Linked DNA regions of Arabidopsis thaliana. The protein of the gene in region 4 interacts with the protein of the main gene of each other region in a pairwise test. Each region holds a gene or a part of one and is shown on either strand. Other genes may lie near its edges. The genes, in order: CRK10, ERS2, AT4G30500 and MLO3.

What was found.
Region 1: the proteins of MLO3 (region 4) and CRK10 interact in a protein complementation assay, tested with the Arabidopsis thaliana proteins (one large-scale study listed by BioGRID).
Region 2: the proteins of MLO3 (region 4) and ERS2 interact in a protein complementation assay, tested with the Arabidopsis thaliana proteins (one large-scale study listed by BioGRID).
Region 3: the proteins of MLO3 (region 4) and AT4G30500 interact in a protein complementation assay, tested with the Arabidopsis thaliana proteins (one large-scale study listed by BioGRID).

Annotation. Positions count from the first base shown.
Region 1 is NC_003075.7:12,136,023-12,141,432, reverse strand, and holds CRK10 (cysteine-rich RLK (RECEPTOR-like protein kinase) 10), read right to left. Parts: upstream 3,439-5,410; 5' UTR 3,263-3,438; coding exon 2,428-3,262; intron 2,308-2,427; coding exon 2,170-2,307; intron 2,087-2,169; coding exon 1,968-2,086; intron 1,875-1,967; coding exon 1,664-1,874; intron 1,572-1,663; coding exon 1,334-1,571; coding exon of another isoform or gene 1,333-1,333; exon of another isoform or gene 1,202-1,332; intron 1,198-1,201; coding exon 1,047-1,197; coding exon of another isoform or gene 987-1,046; exon of another isoform or gene 971-986; coding exon 653-970; 3' UTR 511-652; downstream 1-510. Other genes in the region: CRK11 (cysteine-rich RLK (RECEPTOR-like protein kinase) 11), read left to right, coding at 1-236.
Region 2 is NC_003070.9:1,154,240-1,159,814, forward strand, and holds ERS2 (ethylene response sensor 2), read right to left. Parts: upstream 3,575-5,575; 5' UTR 3,307-3,574; intron 2,901-3,306; 5' UTR 2,887-2,900; coding exon 1,111-2,886; intron 1,039-1,110; coding exon 877-1,038; 3' UTR 525-876; downstream 1-524. UniProt on the Arabidopsis thaliana protein: Ethylene receptor related to bacterial two-component regulators. Acts as a redundant negative regulator of ethylene signaling.
Region 3 is NC_003075.7:14,901,468-14,905,508, reverse strand, and holds AT4G30500 (transmembrane protein (DUF788)), read right to left. Parts: upstream 2,159-4,041; 5' UTR 1,952-2,158; coding exon 1,868-1,951; intron 1,669-1,867; coding exon 1,475-1,668; intron 1,198-1,474; coding exon 1,113-1,197; intron 1,007-1,112; coding exon 941-1,006; intron 838-940; coding exon 745-837; 3' UTR 501-744; downstream 1-500. Other genes in the region: ATG18B (autophagy 18 B-like protein), read left to right, coding at 84-210; AT4G30490 (AFG1-like ATPase family protein), read left to right, coding at 3,626-3,875, 3,959-4,038.
Region 4 is NC_003074.8:16,615,821-16,621,872, reverse strand, and holds MLO3 (Seven transmembrane MLO family protein), read right to left. Parts: upstream 4,476-6,052; 5' UTR 4,288-4,475; coding exon 4,138-4,287; intron 3,792-4,137; coding exon 3,734-3,791; intron 3,560-3,733; coding exon 3,357-3,559; intron 2,731-3,356; coding exon 2,614-2,730; intron 2,483-2,613; coding exon 2,422-2,482; intron 2,329-2,421; coding exon 2,240-2,328; intron 2,137-2,239; coding exon 2,062-2,136; intron 1,976-2,061; coding exon 1,887-1,975; intron 1,811-1,886; coding exon 1,761-1,810; intron 1,658-1,760; coding exon 1,617-1,657; exon of another isoform or gene 1,536-1,616; coding exon 1,362-1,535; exon of another isoform or gene 1,336-1,361; intron 1,288-1,335; coding exon 1,252-1,287; intron 1,141-1,251; coding exon 1,073-1,140; intron 964-1,072; coding exon 903-963; intron 776-902; coding exon 521-775; 3' UTR 503-520; downstream 1-502. Other genes in the region: IVD (isovaleryl-CoA-dehydrogenase), read left to right, coding at 68-214.

The DNA.
Region 1 (5,410 bases), on a different chromosome or scaffold from region 4:
ATTATCAGAGTAATGAAGTCACTAGGTGCATCCATATCGCGCTGTTATGTGTTCAAGAAAATCCAGAAGACCGTCCAATGTTATCAACAATCATCTTAATGCTGACTAGTAACACAATTACTCTACCAGTGCCTCGCCTACCGGGATTTTTCCCACGAAGCAGGCAACTGAAACTGGTATCTGAAGGATCAGAGTCTGATCAGTATACAAGCAAGTCTTCCTCATTTAGTTCGTAAAAATTGATGTGGTTCCTCATCATAGCTTAAAAGTTGTAACAGAAAAATGGTCAGATGACATTTATATTATTTGTCCACGGACATAAGAAACATAGCAGGTTTATCTGTAATTGTATGTTGTACAGTGTCCACTGTAAAATGCTTATGAACAGTTCACAGTTCTTTAAGAATCGTTTCTCGATTACTGGTTTTACTCTCTTCATGCTGAATCAAATTACCTGCTAGATCGTTGTGTAAGCTTAATTTGGAGGGAAAAGTCACTGTTACGTCTTCATGGAGAAACGTGTAAATGGTATATATCTTATACTTGCTTGTGGTTACAATTACAATACAAACATTCTATAACAAAAGAAGTTTTTAACTTATTTTCAACACCAATAGATTCAGGAATCAGGTATGAAGGGAAAAACTCATCATCATCGAGGATGTATATCTGTGATGGATGCATCGTCAACAGACCCTAGAAGAGATTTGCTCGTTGTATCTGTATCAAGCGGGTCTTTTCCAATTCTACTCTGAAAGAAAAGACCGGGTTGCCGTGGCACGGGTAAAGTCACAGTGTTACTAGTGAGCATCAGAACAATGGTTGACAACGTCGGACGCTCAGCAGGATCTTCTTGAACACATAAAAGACCGATATGGACACATCGAACAACTTCATTCCTTTGGCAATTTTCTACAATAGCTGGATCCACGAGTTCTAATGGTCGCCCGTTACTCCAAAGCCCCCAAGCCTAGAATATTATTCAATCAATCAACACTTGCAACTATGTTCAGGTAAATATGGAACTTGATAGGTTTAAAACTTACATATGAGACCAAGTCATGTGCACCATCTGTTTGGTAGAAGCTGCTATTCTTCTTGCCACTTATAATCTCAAGAACTAACACTCCGAAGCTATAGACATCAGATTTCATTGAGTACTGACCATGCATTGCATACTCGGGAGACATGTAACCACTGTAACCCACAACAAAAACTATGTTAACCAAAGGATGTTCAGAAAACTTCAACTTATAAACCCACAACAAAAACTATGTTAACAAAAGAATGTTCAGAAAACTTCAACTTATGAGAAGTTATGAGGAAGACTTACTAGGTACCAACTATTCTGCTTGTGTTCTCTTCGGTTTGGTCCAATCCAAAGATCCTAGCCATTCCAAAATCTGCAATTTTAGGATTCATATCCGCGTCCAAGAGAATGTTACTGGCTTTGAGGTCACGGTGTATGATTGTGAGTCGTGAGTCTTGATGAAGATACAGAATCCCTCGAGCAACTCCACCGATAATCTTGTATCGTCGAGTCCAATCCAGCTGGCCTTTCTTTGCAGGGTCTGTCCACATCCATAAATCACAATGAGATCTCTAAACATTCGTAACCCCAAGTATCAAGAATCATTGAAACAAAGCATTAAATGCAACTAACCAAAGAGGAAGTAATCAAGACTTTTGTTGGGCACATACTCGTAGACCAGTACTCTTTCTTCTCCGTCTAGACAAAACCCAAGAAGTCTAACCAGATTTCTATGTTGTAGCTTTGCAACAAGAACAACCTCGTTCTTGAACTCTACTTCACCTTGTCCTGATGACTTTGATAGTCGCTTCACCGCAACTTCAGTCCCATCCGATAAAGTACCCTGTTGTTTTCATCAGCATCATCCCATTATCCAAAAGTGTTGGCTTAAAATTTCAAGAAAAAAAAAACACAGCTCAAGGGAACTATAATTTACCTTGTAAACCTCACCAAATCCACCTTGACCAATCTTATTACTCTCTACAAAATCATCTGTTGCAGTTTGAATTGTTCTATAATCAAGCTGTAGTGAGTCTGCTGTTGTGATATCATCTCCTGTTACACAATGAAAGTCTTTGAAGCAGGAAAAACAAGCTGAGCATTGACATTAAAGATCGTTTATCACTTGAAATCTTTACCAGCAAATGCAGATGGTGTGTAATAACTCTTCCTTGCCCTTCTTGTAAGGAAACAATAACCAGCTATAAAAAGCAGAACAGCCACTATAATAGGCACAACAATGGCTATCACTAACACCTTTGAATTCCCATCTTTTCCTGCATTTCAAAGATTATTTGCTTAAAAATCAGATAGAAGAAAACTCTCTATATTGGTTTTGCCAATTTCAAGAAATCAGGGCAAAAAAAAAAAACAGAGGAAAAAAACAGAGCTCTGACCAGATCGCGGAGGAGCTGAAACTGGAGGAGTAGAAATTGACGGTGGTGGTGGTGGTGGTGGAACGGCGGATTCGGTGTAAAACGCGTAGATCTCGTATCTTGAAGTACAGCTCGGATTAATAATTCTTGCACCAATTCTGTCAGTAGGTATTTGATTGATGACCAGTTGGAGACAACGCGAACAGTCTTGTCTCGTGAGATCAGGTGTGCACTGAACCAGTCCATAGAAACTCTGCAACGCAGTAAAATTGTTTTTTCTCGTACCGAATTTTTTGGAACTGTTCAAGGCTACGGTGGCGGCTTGGTTCAGAGTAGGCAAAACCAAATCACTTAACAGGTCTAGTTGGTTAGATGTCACATTCCGGGTGTTAACCAAGATAACTCCACCGGTGGTTATTAGTGTCGAGAGAATATTCTGGTTAGAGTATCTAAGTACACACTCATCGTAATAAAGTGTGGCTTCTTTCTGGTTAGGACACCGAGTTAAGGTGTCGTTGACGGCAAAGGAGACGCATCTACGGCAAACTTCCGTTGAGACATCTCCACGGCAGTTGAAAAGTCCGGTGACTCTGTCTGGAGCTTGGCCGACGGTGGCGTTTTGGAATCCGGTGGAGTAGGAAGCGTTGCGGGAAGAAAGAGAAGCCAAAAGGGTCTTGAGATTGTTGTTGTAAGTGCTGTTACTTGTGTAATTTGCCGTATTTTGACAGGTGTGGTATACGTAAGTGGGATCTTGAGCAGAAACTCTGAAACTCGTGAGAAAGGAGAAGAGGAAAAGGAAGAAGAAAGAGGAGTAATAAGACATAATTGGGCTTTCTTGATCTGTGTTTCTTCTCATCAAGCTTTGAGTGATATATGAAACAAATTTGATTGTTTGTTCTCTCTCAGTGACTACCGTAGATAACGTTTTGTGCTGACGAAAAGTCAAGGTCAAGGTCAACGCGTCTCGTATTAAATTGTCGGGTCTTGTCCAACTTCTTGTGTTTAGCTACTAATCCATTACTTATTTTTTTAATATATGAAATATAGAAAAAAATTACGGAAAATATAAAATCATTTTAAAATGAAGAAAATTATCAAAACTGTCAAAATTTAAAACATAATAACTCTAAATTCAAGCTTTGAACTCTAAAGTCTTTTTTTTTTTTGATCAAAAAAAAGGTAGTTGGGATTTTCAAGAGAAAATAAATGTAGCAGTTGGCATGATTTCAAAGATCTTAATTACTAGTAATAGAATTTAGATATACATGAGAGAAACTAGCTAGCAGTAGAATTTGTTTCGTACTTTTCCTTGAACAGAATTGTTGAAATTAGGAATCTTTGTTGACTATTCTTCAAAGAATCATTCTGGGGCTGAAAAAATTGTCGCCACTGATGCGAAGAAATTATTGGTTGATAATAGGTTTTTGTTTTAAGCACGATAATTTATTAATTTGTATATCGTATATGCTAGTATGGTTATTGTGATGTAGTGATACTAAAATAGTATTACCAAATCATCTGCCTATCGTTATCTGATATTGTTAGTTACTAATTATTCTATTACTTTTTATAGTCTTACTCGCGAGAAGTTAAATAACTTGATATTCCACATGACGTCGTTCCATATAATGGTTCCATCATAAGTCCTTTCGTGTTTTCACCCGGATATGAATCTACAGCATATAAGTTTTAATATTTAAAGTTAATATCGGAATATATAAACATGAATTTGCTATATGAATGTGAAATATTTTGACATCATCCGAATACAATGTGTTTTAAAACGAATTTTGCATCCATAAGCTCCATCTAGCTAGTTGCAAAGGTGAGAAATATTTCCTTTTTGGTTCTCAGCTTCTCATGACTATTCCAAAACGAGAAAAAAGGCAATCAAAATTTTTAAAGGCATTCACATATACATAAGGAAAGAGAAAATAAAACCGAGAAGTATTTTATGTTTGATGTATCTCCGATCCTAGTAAAGGCCCAAGATATTGATGCAAGGTATATGAGACCTAGCTCAGCCGTGATTTCTCCGTGAAGAAGACTCAGCTTTGTTAATAATTGAATGAGGCGGTGTATGATGCCAAAACCCTAGTTCGTTCTATTTGATTTTAATGATATTATTCAAAACCCTAGTTTTTAAAAAGTAACTAATTTTTTTTCGTTACTGCCAAGGAAAAACAATCGGCTTTTCATGCAACAAATCTCGTTAAAATTGGTTATGGGCCTGCATGTGAAAATGGAGCCAGAACCAGAAGAGGACTTGGTCAATGCATCGAGAACATTTGCGTAATATTCTTTTTTTTTTCTTTTTTAGTAGTTTTTAATCATCAGCGTAATCTAAGACTCCGACCAAGTCTTACACAAAACAAAAAGAAGAGAAGCTGAGAAATCTGACAAGGAATTAGAAAATGAAAAAGAAAGTTTTTTTCCATTAGTAATAACAGAGGAAAAACTTATGCTTCTGTTGGTTCTCCCTTGCATCTCGCTTTCCTTAGCTCATTTTTACTGTTACGGTGTTACGCACAACTAGAATAATCACTTGGAACACTCAGAATGTTGCAGCGGGCCAGTTCAACGATCAGACGAAGTAAACATCAAGATAGCAAGAGCAACCACTATCGACGACGAATTCAGTTTGTGAGGAAGAGCGTTGGTGTAGCTTGAGACACGTTTCAATCACGTGTAGCTAAAAATATCTAGATAATTGTAATAGAAAATAAATTAAATATTTTATGTATTAATTGGTTTAGTATGAGAAAAGCCAAAACATTGACCAAGTCTAAGATTAAGAAAGCTAGATGAGCAATTCACTATCAAAGACGAGAAGACTGAAGTAAAGACAAAATAAGAAGACTCATTAGCTGCTTCACAATCCTTATCTCTTTGATTGTAAGAAACTGAGTTACTTTATTTCGATGATACCAATTTTAAACGCAGAGAAAAAGCAACACGTCAATTTGTAAAGCAGAGCAAAACGAATTACAACTTGGCCAAAACT
Region 2 (5,575 bases), on a different chromosome or scaffold from region 4:
AAAAATCAGCCGAAAAATTAGAGGGCGGCGAAGCAATATATCATTTCAATCAGCTAAAATATCCAGAGAAACCTCATAATTTCATCAAAGACATCGGAAAACAAAACAAAGCCCAGATGAAATCAACGATCGGGGAAAATCAAAATCGGTGTGGTATCAAAATGAAAGACTGTAATCGGAACATAAAGCCTCGCAAAATCCGAAGAACAAAGGAGGAGATATAGAAGAAGCTTATTGGTTGTAGATCGAAGCGAACCTGAGATGGTGGAAGAAAGAGCAAAGAGAAGCTAATTCGTTGAATGGGCTAATGGCAGCTCCTATGAGATTCTACAGAGAGAGAACAAACCAAAAAAGACGACGGAGGAAAAGAAAGAGAGATAAATAGAGAGAAAGAGAGGTCGCACGAATCACCTCAATGTTAAAAAAAAAAAATCACATAAACCTTTTAAAAACAAAAGTTAATTAAAAGGTCGAAGTTAATATGTACCTGGATACATATTGTGGATACAAGTTGTATACGGTTTCTGGATCAGAAATCAATAAATTTATAAGCTTCATCTAAAACGTCACAATATTTGACAAAGGAGTTGGTAGGCTTGTAAATCACAAATCCGTAAGGAACATCCTCCGACACATTTTTTTACTTTGAATTCTGTTATCACCAGCAAGTTACAACAAGTCTGCATCATACCTTTTGCCTACACGATAGGTTAAAACCTAGTTAACTTTCAGGTTTTTACAACCGAACGACAACGTTTTAGTACTCTCTCTGTTAATCTCATTAAAGCCCCTACTGTTTTTACAAATTCTCAGATTCCACCCCTTAAATCTTTCTTTTGCACTACATTCCCCTCCCCCCCTTCCTGACGTCAATGATCAGTGGCTAGTAGACGGAGGAGTTGAGGTTCTAAACGTTTCTCCAGAATATCCACCGCCTCTCGACATCATCGATCGCCGGAGTTGAAACCGGAAAACAACTGAGACGCTTTTCACCAAACCTAGACCGTCCTCAACAACCCGAATATTCCCTTGCATATACTGTCACAAAACAAGATAAAAGTGTTAAACCAAGTCATTAGCACATTTACATACAAAACACAAATGACCAACCTTTACAATGTTTTGGCAAGCGTTGAGACTCGGATTCTCTTCCTCCTCCTCCAGGTTACTACCACTACTACTACTACTACTCTCTTCACCTTCAGCAGTTACCTCGAATCCGAATCTAACTTCCATGTATTCTTTCGAATAGCAATGTCGCCAAACCGCTTCTTGAATATCTTTCCTCTCTGATACGTCTGAGTTCCCGCTTTCCGGAAAAACCCAGAAAGTCACATTCCCTTTGATCTTTCGATTCATTAGAACCCCAAGCATATGCAAAATCGCTTGAAAGACCTTTCTATCATCACCTACGACGTAGTCAGGCAATGCTCTATAAACTTCAGCTGAGAAACCAAAACCATTTGCCATGCATAAACACCTCGCCACGCAAGCTGACTCTTTCACAACCGAATGCAAACTGAAATAATGAGTCTCTGCAGCGCGGATTGTCCCATTGTTTATATCTCCGGCATTGTTTACAAGCTGTACAAGTAACTCGCTGGTTCTCCTCATTGCATCAACGATAACAGTCTGGTTCTCGGGTAACTTCCCATCCTGAAGTATCAAAGGAAGCAACCCGAGAATGGACCGCACAGGACACCTCATTGCATCGCTCATCATCTGCTCGAACGCAGCCTTGGCTTGATTAGCTCTCAGTGCGTTCTCCCTCGCAACCTGAAGCGCTCGGTTCTGTTCAGCGAGTTTCTCTCTCATAAGCTGAGATTCTTCAAGAATCACGGCGTGAGAGATTGCAACCGCCACTTGATCAGCCACCACCTTAACAATCTCAAGCTCTTGATAAGTCCAAGCCTGCGGCTGTCTCAATGGAAGCACACACACCAATATCGCATAACACATGTGAATCGCCTCTGGTGTCCCGCCTTTAAAGTTACAAACCCGAAGCATAGGGACTCTTATCCCAACCGTAGGACCTGACTTCCCTCGGCTAGTCACTGAGGCAAGCACAGAACCAGGGCTCAACATATTCACCTCTTCGCTTCTCTTAATCCTCACAACATCAGACTCACTAATCGGTATCGAGAACCCAGCATAACCACCAAAATGCTCATTCTCATTCTCATCATCAATCCTCGGTCTTAACTCATGAGTAAGATTCATCTCCGTCTTGATCTCATTCGGGATCCAAACCGCACAGTTCTTGAGCCCCAGAGTCTTGGACAACTCCACAAGCGTAGTGTATAGAATGGTGTGTCGATCAAGAGACGTCCTAATCTTGGTAGTGAGCATACGAACATGCAAACTCGTCTCAGTCTGCTTCATAATGATCCCAACCTCACGATCAAGCTCTCTGGTCTTCTTACTCAACATAAACTCACGAACCTTAGCCTTAAGAAGCAATGGTAAGAGAGTGACTAACGAGAGTGCCGTGAGGAAAGAGACGATACCAGTCAGCATCTTGAAGACAGTGACAGCTGTCATGACCCAAGGCCAGTGAGGCCCGTAGGTGAAACCAGCGAGCAAATGGGTCATGCCGCAGAGAACAATGAAGGCTATAAACTCGCAGACCACCCAATTGTAAGGTGAAGGCACATTGGTGCGGCTCACGAAGTAAACCAGCTCGATTGGGATCGAGAAATAAGCGATTGCGATAAGAAAGTCGCCGACTTTTTGCGAGTTGAGGATTGTCTCGTAGCTAAAGAGACTGTCTTCGTCGTCGCAGTTGCATAACGACAAGCTACCGTCGTCTTCTGCGGCGGTGACGACGGAACCGATTAAGAAGAAGAAGAAGAAGACAAGCCATTGGACTAACAATGTCTTTAACATCGATTACTGTTTCCCTGAGTAAGAATTAATTAAAAAGGTGAGATTTTTATTCATACCCAGAACTCAAAATCGAGATTTTTCAATTCAATATGCGTAACGTTTGGATTTTGTATACCCAGAATTGTGCAATTACCTATGAACATAGTGAAAATCAAAATCAGAAAAAGATTCAAAATTCAAAACTTGTTCAAGGAGAGAGTAAAGTTAATGTCTTTTAGATTATAAATCTTTTTCACAACAAGGACCGAATTTGTAAATTAATTTTCTTTTAATCCCCTAAATGTATGAAGTTATGAACCACCCACAAGAACAAACATCAAAATCTACCGATTCCTCACAAAATCCGCAGAAAATTCAAAATCAGATGAGAAATAGCGAAAAGGAACATCAAACCCATCTCACATTTGAGAAATCATATACCTGCAACGTAGTGATCAGCCAAAAATCTCTTTTCCAGAAAACGTAAAAGCTGTAGAAGAAGAAGAAGAAGAAGTCTAAACGATTGTTGAATCTTACGAAACTCACCAGAATGTGTAGAGAGAGAGACAAGTTAGGGAAGTAAATATGTGTGTGAGCAGAGTCTCTCGCTCTCTCTTTTTCTGTGTCTGCTGCGATAGAGAGAGTAGATTTACGTTTTGGTGAGAGAGAGAGAGAGAGAGAGAGAGAGAGGGAGGAATTGGGGGGAGAGTGAAGAAGGAAAGGGGGGTGGGACCCAGAAACGGTACATGAAGAGAACATAGACGCTTTTCGTTTGGAACACAACACGAGCACGACATCTTCTTCTTCTTCTTCTTGACCTACGTGGACTCTTACCAAATTCAATTTTAGAGGATTCTTCTTCTTTTTTTAATCTTTCCTTTTCAGCTTTATTAATTAATGACTCTATTTTCAAGATTTATGACTCTTAATACCTATCCCAAATTTTATTCTGCTTTTGGATTACAATAAACAACCTATAATAATATATATATATATTTATATTTCTATTATTTTATGTATAAAAATAAATCTATTCTTTTTAATGTTTAAAAATTAGTTAATTATATTAAATAAATGTTTTATTTCTATTATGGATGATTACATTGGTTTTTTAGAAAGTGAGATTACATGACCAAATAGTAGTATAAGTTTACATTAAAACCAAAAAATTGCATTAAACAATGATAACTACTAGACTATGCAAGTATGAAGTCTACTCACTAAATATCTAAGTTAAAAATAGTATTGACTTAAACGGCACAATTTGCGGCTGATTTGATAACATAATGAGTTAGTTTATTCGACTGACTTAAGATATTTGGTAGATAATTAAATATGCAATGCTATTTTTCGTTTGTAAAACGTTATATTGACCTACCTTGCTACTTATTAGACATGATTTAGTTAAACACTCCATCTTTGTTTTTCTACTCAATAATAACAATACCGAATCAAATTTCTTTGTGGGTCTACCGCCACTTAACTCTTATCAGAAAATGGAGTCTTAACTAAGTGCATGATCATCTCTTTGGATCCCAATATCACTAAATTATCGATCGTACTACTAATTTTTCTTGGCAATTTTATCATTTTATTGGTAATATTTCCCTTTCAAGAAATCAATATGATCAACCACTAACTTTTCTTTGTAAACCGCAAATTTAGAAAAATATATACACATGAAAATCCGTATATTTTGATTGCCCTATTGAAATTTAGTACAAGTAATATATAAACTAGCTACATAACCTCGACAATAACGAACACTTATCAGATTTAGAAGACAAAACTAACAGCAATCTTGCTATATCGGTTTGAATTTTATGTTTTTGTTTATTAATATGAATTTGATCTTAGTGGATGCACTAGGAACATTTTATGGTCAAGGTTTTATACCAATATAAATCTTTTAAATAAATAACCAGTGGTCTAGTGGTAGAATAGTACCCTGCCACGGTACAGACCCGGGTTCGATTCCCGGCTGGTGCAGATTGTATTTTTTTCCTGTTATACAGGTTTTTTCGCTTTTTTCTTTTTCTTTTTTTCTGAATCCAATGCTATTATTGGCCACGTGTCGAGCGATGAACACGTGCTGATTCCTTTCCTTTTCTGTCTACATTCTCGTCACTATTACAAAACAAATGTCTTCTCCTTTTAAAGAAATCACTGGTAAGAATGCATGCATCATAAAACTTTTATCAAAGAAATAGAAATAGTGCATGCACCTTTGCCACTTAAGCCAATATATATGCAAATCAAAACAGATGTACACAGAATCATTTTTACTTTTTTTGCATGAGACCACATACATATACAGTATAATCTTTTGTCTGTAAAGGCAATCCAGTACAAGACTAGCTAATGTTTGATAGACGTTTCATTTATACAGCAAGAGCGGGACTGATTGTTTATATACGGAAATTCATCAAATATTCAAATTGATTTAAAAAAATGGTGATTTGAATTACTTTTATAGTCAGATGATTTGATCAATACATTTACATCTTCTTTCCGGTGACATTATAAAAACGTTTAATACTTCTTTTAAAATTTAGTATTTTTCATGTATATAAAACATGTATCCTTGATCTTTCATTCCTTCTCTCGTTTTTTGGGACCAACTTTCTGTTTAGGTACGTCTTCCTTAGAATATACGAGATTCTCTTGAGTCTTGAATATGAACTGTTATCGAGAGTACGTTTCAGCAAAT
Region 3 (4,041 bases), on a different chromosome or scaffold from region 4:
GTAAGATTTTAGGATATCTTCATTTTGAAACCATGGTTACATGACAAGTTTTGATAATCTTTTACCTTTCACGTTCTTTTCAGAGCAACGGTATCGGTGATCACTTATAACGGATATTTCCAGGAGTATACGCTAAGTATCAATAACAAGAATGAGTCTCTATGGACACTGGAACGTGAATTCAATCTCTTCTCCATAACCACCGGGTGATGTATACAACCAAATATCAAATATATGAAAGTACTGGGCAACTTTTTTGTATGTAACAATTTTTGTACCTTGGGTTCATTAAGAATATGTTTATAGTCTCATGTTCTTTGGTTATTCGCAAATATAATTAGCTCTTCCGTGCTATTACTGTATCTTAATCTTGATTTGTGTTGAAGAAATGAAATACAAAATGGTTTCCCAACTCTTTCCATCATATCCCACTTACTCCATAGTTACAGTCAAGGCTCTTTAGCTATGAATCAGAATTTTCAAGTCAGGATCATTTGTCGGTCTAATGGCTCACAAGTCATAACATCATCATAATCCAAAGAGCAAAAGTCTTTTATCTTATGAGAATTCACTGTATCCTACTCAAGACTATTAGTCTACTTCATCTTAACACATCCATTAAGTCAAAATAGTGTAAAGACAGGTACATTACAAAGTCAAGAGTATTTACCCATTGATTTGCATTTTGTATGTTTGAAGAAAGATTTGCTAATTGTGTTTGCTAAAGATGAATGTTTAAGACATTCATCGAGATCTTGTCTTAACGACTTGTCCTCTAGAAGCTTTTCTCTCCATCTTCTCCCTCTTTTTGCGAGTCTTCTCATCCTCAACACCTCCCTAAGTTCAGTCATATAGACAAAACACAGTCCATTTTAAATGATCATGTTTTATTTCCCCCTTGTTCAAAGCACTTTGAGAGTATTCAAGACAAAGTGATTACCTCTGAACCATGTGACAATAGTCCCTTAATAAGACCAGAAGCTTTGTATGCTCCAAATGCAGGGATCTAAAATAAAAACAAGCAAAAGTAAATGGTTGCATCATTCCTACAGAGCAAATCTGTTGTTTGCCTTAAAATATGGCAATAAAGAAAATTGAGATGGGTATCATACCACTAAATACGCGTACCAAAACTTTCCAGAGATGATAGATCCGACCTGCACAAAGCAGGTGATGTAGAGTACATCATGCAAATATCTGCAAGGAAGAATAGAGCATCAGGCTTATACTATAGAATCTACCATAAATCCAATCCACCATAAAGATGACGATTATGTAGCAACTGATAAACGATAAAACTCGGAGAAAGCCACAACTAGTAAAACATCACTCATTTCAAACAACTGATAATGAAACAGTCCTCCTACTATTGCTTTTGGTTATGGAAACAGAATCCAACTATACAGAAACACTTGAGACAAAAGCAGGCACTTTCTAGTTGATCAATTTAAAAGACAAATCTTTCCGAACGTACCCACACATTCCAGGAGTGCTCATGTCAAATCCACCATCAAGAAGTTCACCAGCATCACTAACACTAGGCTTTGCCATTTGATGAAGAAGCTTATATGGAATCCCGTAACCTAACGATGTTAACACAAGACCAATCCAATTTTTCCAGGTATGACTTGAATGCGAAATTATAACCCTCACTAGGACATACAAAATCTGCAAACACATATTGCCAAAAACATCAATCCTCGAATTCATCGAAACAAAATCAGCTAAACATTGAAACTTTCGAGACCTAAAGATCAAATTCAACGGATTTTTAGTTCCATATTGATACAAGTAACGTATCTAAACAAATCTAAGCTCAACGGATTAATGTATTGAGAATTTAAGAAATGAGGAACGAGGAAGTTACGTTGCAAAGGATCATAATGAGACGGAGCTTAGCCATGTGTCGAGCGTTCTCATCTTTCCTCTTCTTTGCTCCTTGATTCGCCATGAGTTAAAAGAGAATGATCAAAGAGACGAGGAAGATAGTTTTTTCAGTTTCTGTAATTCTTCTTTTGCTTTGGATCTTCACAAATGGTGTGAGAGAAAACTTTTAGGTGTCTAAGCTTGTTTAATCCAATTATATATTGACACCTGTACCTTTTTGTCGTCCTCTTTTCTCAAATACTTTTTTCACGCAGGAAATGTTTTGTTTGGCTGCGTGTCGTAATTACGCTTTTCCTTGGGTTTAGGACAAAGATTCTTAATTTGGGCTTTCGTCTATCCTTATCAGTTGTTGTTGGAAAACTGAAACAGTTCTATCTAAATGGGCCAGAACAACCTAAAAGGCCCATAAAATCTGACATCTTAAGGCCTATCAACAGAAAACTGCATTATTTCAGTTTTCCAATAACAAGGTCTGTGTGAAAATCACCGGCGCTCGGAGAAGACATCAACATAAAACCTTTTACCGCTGTTCCAAAAACTAAAAAGTATACCATTTCTATGATCAATCGGTAAAACGATATTTATAACGGAACAAGAACAAAAGTAGTGTAAATTTTTTTCCCTGTTTTATGTTGTTCTATAGACAAAAAAAAATGAAGATATCATATCTTGTGGGCCTATATCCAATATTTGAGTGTAGCCCATATTTGGATCAAACATCACGTCTTACACAATGGTTCTCGGATATCCCAATCTGAGTATGGTTTTAGGTCAATTCAACATAGTATTATTTTGTCAACAAGCACCATTATAGCAAAAACAAAGATGTATCAAAGAAAAGTAGCGTTAGGGGTTGGTCAGAAAAAGACATGTTTGCAGTGTAAGAAATGACGTGGACACGTGGAATCATACGCAATGCAACATGTCATCATTAAGGTCCATTGTTCAACTTACCCATTGAGAACAAAACTAGAAAAATTATAGACCGTTGGATCATCTTTAAGGACCATGTCTGATTCACGTATCTCTCTCCCACTTGGAATATGCTTAGCCTATGTATGGGACACATTCGCTAGGTCCACCAGTATCCTGTACGCAAACGCAACATCGAGAAGCTTCCGTTTCCAATATTCTATACTATAATTACAAATGTTAAAAATTGTTTATAAAATTTGTAATTTGACTTGTAGACATCATTAGGGTAAAGATATATCAAGAAATTACTTTTTTCATAGGAATAAAAATAGTCAACTCTCTTAAATAAGGGACAAATACAATCCTCTAATGACCTGGAAAACAACTATGCAATCAACATTAACAAATGTAATTAGAAGTACAACACAATCAATTTTGGTTAAAAAATTGAAAGTATATAAAAATAAAAAAATAAAAAACGTGTCTTAGTTGATAAATAACTCATTAATCACGCCTCTATCTCTCTGTTTTAAGAGTTTAACAGTTAAAGATCTTCTTCTCTATCTTCCTTATTTGACTACATCTCCGTTTATTCTTGGGTCTCTCTCTATCTCTCTTATCCAGATTTATCATCGTCATTACATATAAACATCAAACTTAACTTTTCAATATTCTCATTCACTTTTTCCTCTTGTGCTCTAATTCTTATCCGGATCCGATTTCTCTCATACAAAGATTCTGTTTTTCTTCTTGGGTTATTGTTCTTGCTCTGTTTCCGTATCTCAAAGTTTCAGCTGCTGAATTGAATTTGCATTGATCGTAGATGAGACCAATCATTAGGTTATCATCTCTCAGTAGAATTAGATGGGCTCTAAGGAACAATCAAGAACGTTATTCTTCAACTTTCTACTCCAAAAGCCGCAAACTTTTGATCGGTGTCAATCAAAATCAAGCTCTGCTGAATACAAACACTGATAATTCAAGTTTGTATTCAAGGTCAAGTATCTTTAGAGGCTTATCAGCAGAAGCAGTAGAAGCAGCTGATCCTGCTACTACTAGGGTCACCGTCTCAGGTTTTGTTTCTCTTTGCAAAGAAATTCTATCAATCTCAGAGTTCGTGTTTATTGGTTTGCTGATATTTGTTGAATGATGACAGATGTGAATAGAACAGGTCCTCTTGTTGAGTATGAGAGAAGAATCAGTAATGGTGAACTCATGACTGGTGATATCTGCCAAGTA
Region 4 (6,052 bases):
TAACTACACATATTGATCACCTAGTTACCTTTCCTTTAAGACTAAAAGATTTGGTTTGATGTTGCAGGCGATACAATGTTTAGGCGGAAATGGATACATAAACGAATATGCAACAGGACGCCTTCTAAGAGATGCAAAGCTATATGAAATCGGTGCAGGGACAAGCGAGATCAGAAGGATTGTCATCGGTCGCGAGCTTTTCAAAGAAGAATAGAGATAAGTCTGTTTTCTGCATTGCCAATGCGACATTTTCATTCTGTACACGTATATATAATTCACAGTGTCCTTAATAACCTCACAATAAGAAAAATAGCTTCAAGCAATCCTCTAGAAACCATATCAATTATTAGTCACATTATGTGTGACATGTTATCACGATACCAGCATGCCAATCTAACACTGACACTTCTGGTTAAACTTACTATTTTGTCATTTGATTCGTCAATAATTAGTAAAGGCAACTCTAAAAAGTTCTTAACAATAATACCAACAATCTCTTTCTCATTTTCCATCAATCTGATCACCTTTCAGTTTTCTCTTGTATCTGTATCTCTTGTAAAATCGGCGATTGTCTACCCGAAAATCTAAACTCAGAAGCAACTTCTGTCTGAACCGGACTTTCTCCAGAATCAATATCACCATTGTTATTGTTACTGTTGTTGTCGGTGTCTGGCGTTTGGATAGTCTTTTTCTTGTCTCTAACCATCCCTTGCCAGTGCCTTAACACATTTGCTAGTTGTTCTTCTAAGATTGCTCTCTTGTAGCTTGACCCCATCTAAACACATATATATATGCATCCAAATCAAATTCAGATCACTAGGTTACACTAACAGTAATAATTTATATACTAATGCAAAACGATTTAATTTAAAAATGGTGTTATATATATTGGACTAAATTACCTGAGTTACAATGGCATAAAGAGGCAATGTAATGTAGCTGCTCAAGAACTGGACTGTCACCCTATAAATCATAATATCCTTAATATTAACGATATGATTTTTAATACAAAAATATAATTTCGAAAATGTAAATAATTTGTGGGATAAAATAAATAAATTGTAGTGCTTACGCTAATACAAGTCGTGTGATTATGATCCCTTGGTTATCATGGTAGCAAGAGTTAATCCCAAATTGCCACTAATTTCATAATTAAAATTATAGATACATCACATATAACAATTTCCTATATTATTTTTCCCTTTCTTATAAATCCAAATATTAAAATCCCTATAAGAAATTAGAACTTACAGTGATCCACACAATAAATGCCATCTCGAAGGTGTTCTGTATTAGAAAAATTAATGTTGGCATTATGATGAAGCATTAGGAAAAACGACATGTAGTTTATAAAAGATTACCAGAAACAGCGTGTAGTGTAGAATGCTTAAGAGAAAACGAGGATTGGAAAACCAGAAATGCGTGTCGTTTGACTCAACGAGAGGGGTTCCTCTAATTACACTGTTATTCTCCTTAATTGTGACCGCCATTTTCGCTACTATCATCTCTAGTTTCGTCCCGATCACTAAAACTATCTACGTAACAATATTAGTTCGTCAATAATTTGAGTTACACATATAGTTAATTAGTCTTAACTAGATTAAATTAGCTCTTACAATGAGTGGCACAAATGACATATAAAAATATACTCTCCAACCTGATGATTAAGAAAAAAAGAAGAAGATAAGATAAAAACGAGTAATCACTAATAATTATTTTAATTTAACTATTTAAGCTAACAAATATATAAATTAAGTTACCAGAAACGTCGAGGAGCATAAAGATGACCACAGTTAGCCACATTAAAGGACTGTAACAAAATTAAAAAGTTTATTTGATTTAACTTTGTTACTTAAGATTCATGTAAAATACACAAATATGACTACCTTATACCAACCACAGTTTTAAAATCTTCATGTAAAGATCTCTGTATATAGTTTTGGAAGTTGAAAGCATTATTTGACGATACATGAGCCTGCATCAATAATCAAAATAACACATTAAATTTAAAATTTATTTATTTTTAAATAATTATTCATTGACAAAAAATGAGGTACTAACAAAGATGAACCCATGCCGAAGTGTGAGGTAATCTACTTTCGCCACTGAGTTGTAAAATTGCCTGAAGAAACATTTCTAAGAAGAAAAAAACTTAATTATTAATATAGTTAAACCTATATATTTGAGATAAATGTTAATTAACAAATTAATTAAAGATTAATAATAGGTACGAACTTACAATCCAAAGTTGAAATGATGTTTCAGTCCATGAACTCAGGTGTCGTCGAGCAAATGTTGTATCTCTTGTTATTCTAAACCTATTCGGATCTTTAAATTTTCATAAAATATTAATTAACTTATCGACTAAGAAATAATTGACATTGCATGTAATTTCGTAGTAGAAAAATACAAAAATCTTACCGTTTGCTGCTAGATACTCCACTGTTTGGGTCTCTTTCTCCCACGAATTCCATTTTCTCATCTATATGTATTACGTACACAAAAAACTTTGTATGTAAACAATAGTAAAAAACCATGTCACAAATTATTGAAGTCTTTATTAAACAATTGTAATGTTATAATATTTGATTGCATAGTGTATATATGTAGTACCTTGGCCATTCCAAGGAGAAGAATAGCAAGATTGCAGAGAATATGCATGCATGCCAACACAAAGAAGAAGTAACTCAACTGAGTCAACCCTTCTTCTGATATTAGTGAAGTCTTACCCTGCAAATTTTATTTTATTAAATCGGATTAGTTACTTCGAAATAAAATTTACTTTAGTAAGCAAAGAAAAAGTCATACTCTTGATATTTTGTTCATAACTCAACAATTTTTTTTTTGTTTTCTTTTTTATTTGGACGTAATTTTCTTGATTAGTGGACTCTAGCTAACGACAATGTCCAAGACTCCAAGTCAACGTCAAAGTAAACTAGTTGACATTTTTGGATTTTGCGGTCCTCTCTCCCTCCATCTTGGATTTCAAGAAGATATCTTAAAACTTTTGGATTCAGAAGTTTCATAAGTTAAGCATATAAAAATGTATATGATTAAATCTCTTATTTAAATAATCATATTGTAGAATAGTAAGCAATAAAAGGTTATGAAAACTGGAAAATCATTTAACGAAAATTCATAAATCAAAAACTAAATTGTGTGATTGATTAAGAAAACAAAATTGCTGCATAATTTCTATCTACAGTTTCACTGGTCATCAAAACTTTTGTTTTTCTAAGTTAAAACCTTTGTATACTACTTTTATACATTATATATATGTCCACCTTGGATTTAAAGATAAATGAAAATAAAACTGTAAAATGATTTTAATTAAAGATCAAAGGGTCAAAAAGAACCTTGGAAGAGCATTGATGAAAGAAGCTGTTGTCATGATTATCACCATCATCATCATCATCATCTTCACTAACATCATTATGTGATTTTATGGTTTTACGGCATGGCAACATTCGATTGGCATACTTTATAGGAATGCATATCTTCGAAACTTCTCCTTCAGTTACATTTAGCATTAGTGACATGAATCCTAGCACCATTAGAACTGCCCTTACAGAACATTAAAAATTCAGAGATTAATAAAATTGGAAGAGATATTTCAATTGATTTTCATATCCAAAAATTTAGGATTTTTTTTTACTATAAGATGTTTGAGCTTTTTAAATTAAACAAAGATTGATGACCAATGAACTTTTCTACGAATGGGACAGTTTTTTACCTGATTTGAGCTTCTCTACAGCTTCAAGTAGCGACGTTTTTCTATTTTTCTTAAGTCTCTGCAAGAAAAGAGACAATATATATATAATACAGTTTTGTCTTGAACTTTCGACTCGCTTTTTATTTTTTGTTGAAATTTCAACTCATGTTATCTAGCTGATATTTTTCGAAAATGGTTAAAATATTAAAATACATTTTTATTAACATACATATTTACTACTTCACCTATATATCTAATTTAATAAAATATAAATATATCCAATTTAAATTCTTGCAAGTGTAAACCAAACTCTACTTTTCCAAGAACAAAAAATTTATAAAAAAAACTTAAAGAGATTAGTCAAAATTTAAACAGTGTATAGAAGAAAGTATATATGATCCTATAATATACATATTTGTACTTACAGTGGATAGAAGATTGATGAGACGCTCGAGGCAAATGGAAACAGCGATGAAGAAGAAACAAACGGTGGCCAGAGCCCAAGTGGGAGTTTCTTGGAGGGATCGGACGGCGCCAACCTCCGAGGAGTGGTTGCTTTCTTCTTTATCCGTCATCTCTTTATATTTTTCCCGGTGACTGATTTGTTTAGTTGAGAAGATGAAGAATTAGATATGTGGTGGAAAATATAACTATATATCTATTAATATTGTCGCAATCATTGTTGTGTTGCAATCAAGAACTTGTCAAAGTTTCTAGTAAACACTGACGTTTAAGCTTTAAATGTGACATTAAATCCCAAGTCCCACTTCATACGTACTGCCCTGTCTTGACTTGGTAAGACTTAATATTATTCTTGGGTAAACTTGATAAGTAAATTAAAATAAAAAAATTTTAGTTAGTAAACTAAAAATGGATTGGAGTATTGGACGGTGAAAACCGACAATGTAAAGAAAGGATAAAACAGTTTCTAATTTTCTGCAATTATAGTCGATTTTACTAGTTAACTTTTAACTTTTAATTTAGTGGGTATATTATTTATTAAATGGAAATTAGAGTTATAAATTATAAGTTTTTGAGTTTGATTTTGTTAGACGTTCATTTGATAGTTCAGAAAACAAAATAGCACGTTACAAATATAAGTTCATTTTAATGTTTCTAGTAAAAACTAAATGAGAATAAAAACAAAATTAAGGAATATACTATGTAATGAAAATTTCTTATTTGTTGCCCTTTTTGTGTATATTATGAAAATTTCACCGTGGCCGTGAGAAGGGGTTACACATGTAAAAAAAAAAACTATGTAATGAACCCAAATCATATTATTGATATTTTCTTAATTTCATCAATAAATATTGCGATCTACCAAATTCACCTTCTTTTTCGGTTTAACAACCACATCAATATATAATTTTTAATACAAGAACGGAAATGACAATAAAAAAAATGATTACTTACTTCACAACATGATAACAAAACAAAACCAATATGACATCGTAAAATATTCTGGATGAACATTTGAACAAACATAATTATACGTACATTTTCTTAAGCTTATATATATATATAGAGATAAAAATAATGAACTTATATAGTTTTCAAAATTGTTGGAAAAAAAATGGAGGGTTCTAAGTCTAAGGTTTTTATTGTGCTTGATTAATTTAAAAAAAAAAACAAGAAACTAAAGCTAGAAATTAGGATTTAAATCATATCCAAATGGCCAAATTAAATGATGAGAACATTTTAGAGAGAAATCCCAACCACGTCTGATTTTATCATCCGAGCAATTCAGGATCCTTTTTTCTCGACTAAGCTCAGATCATCTTTGTTGTATTTGTTTGATGGCTGGTTTCCAGTTTCTTCGTCGAAACCATGTCTAGTGAATATCATTTTTTTGTTCTCTAGCTTTCTTCTCTTTTGTTTTGTTTTGTTTCCGTTTTTCTTTTACAATCTCATTGGTTTTCTCTAGTGATTGCAAAAACGTTGGAATCATAACAAAGAATCCTTTCAAATCTATCCGTACAACAGCCGCCCCACTGAGCACACTATAACACAAACTAAAAAAGATCTGATATATCGATGTTTGTATTATGTTGCAAATTAAACCAAGTTCCGACCCACTCAAGAATTAGAGCTTTAACAATCACGGGTGAAACGTATTTTTACACAAAACAAACATAAATTAAAATAAAATAAAAACATTAATTACATGTTTTATTATATACAGACAAATATTAAATATCAATAATTTTATCAAATAATTTATTTTAATCGTTTCATCCCACACTAGATGCGAGTTCTTATCTAGTTATAAGTTTATAACATAATCGTCGACAAAAGCCTATACGTTTTTTACTTAGGGCTGGCTCAAAATAATTAAAA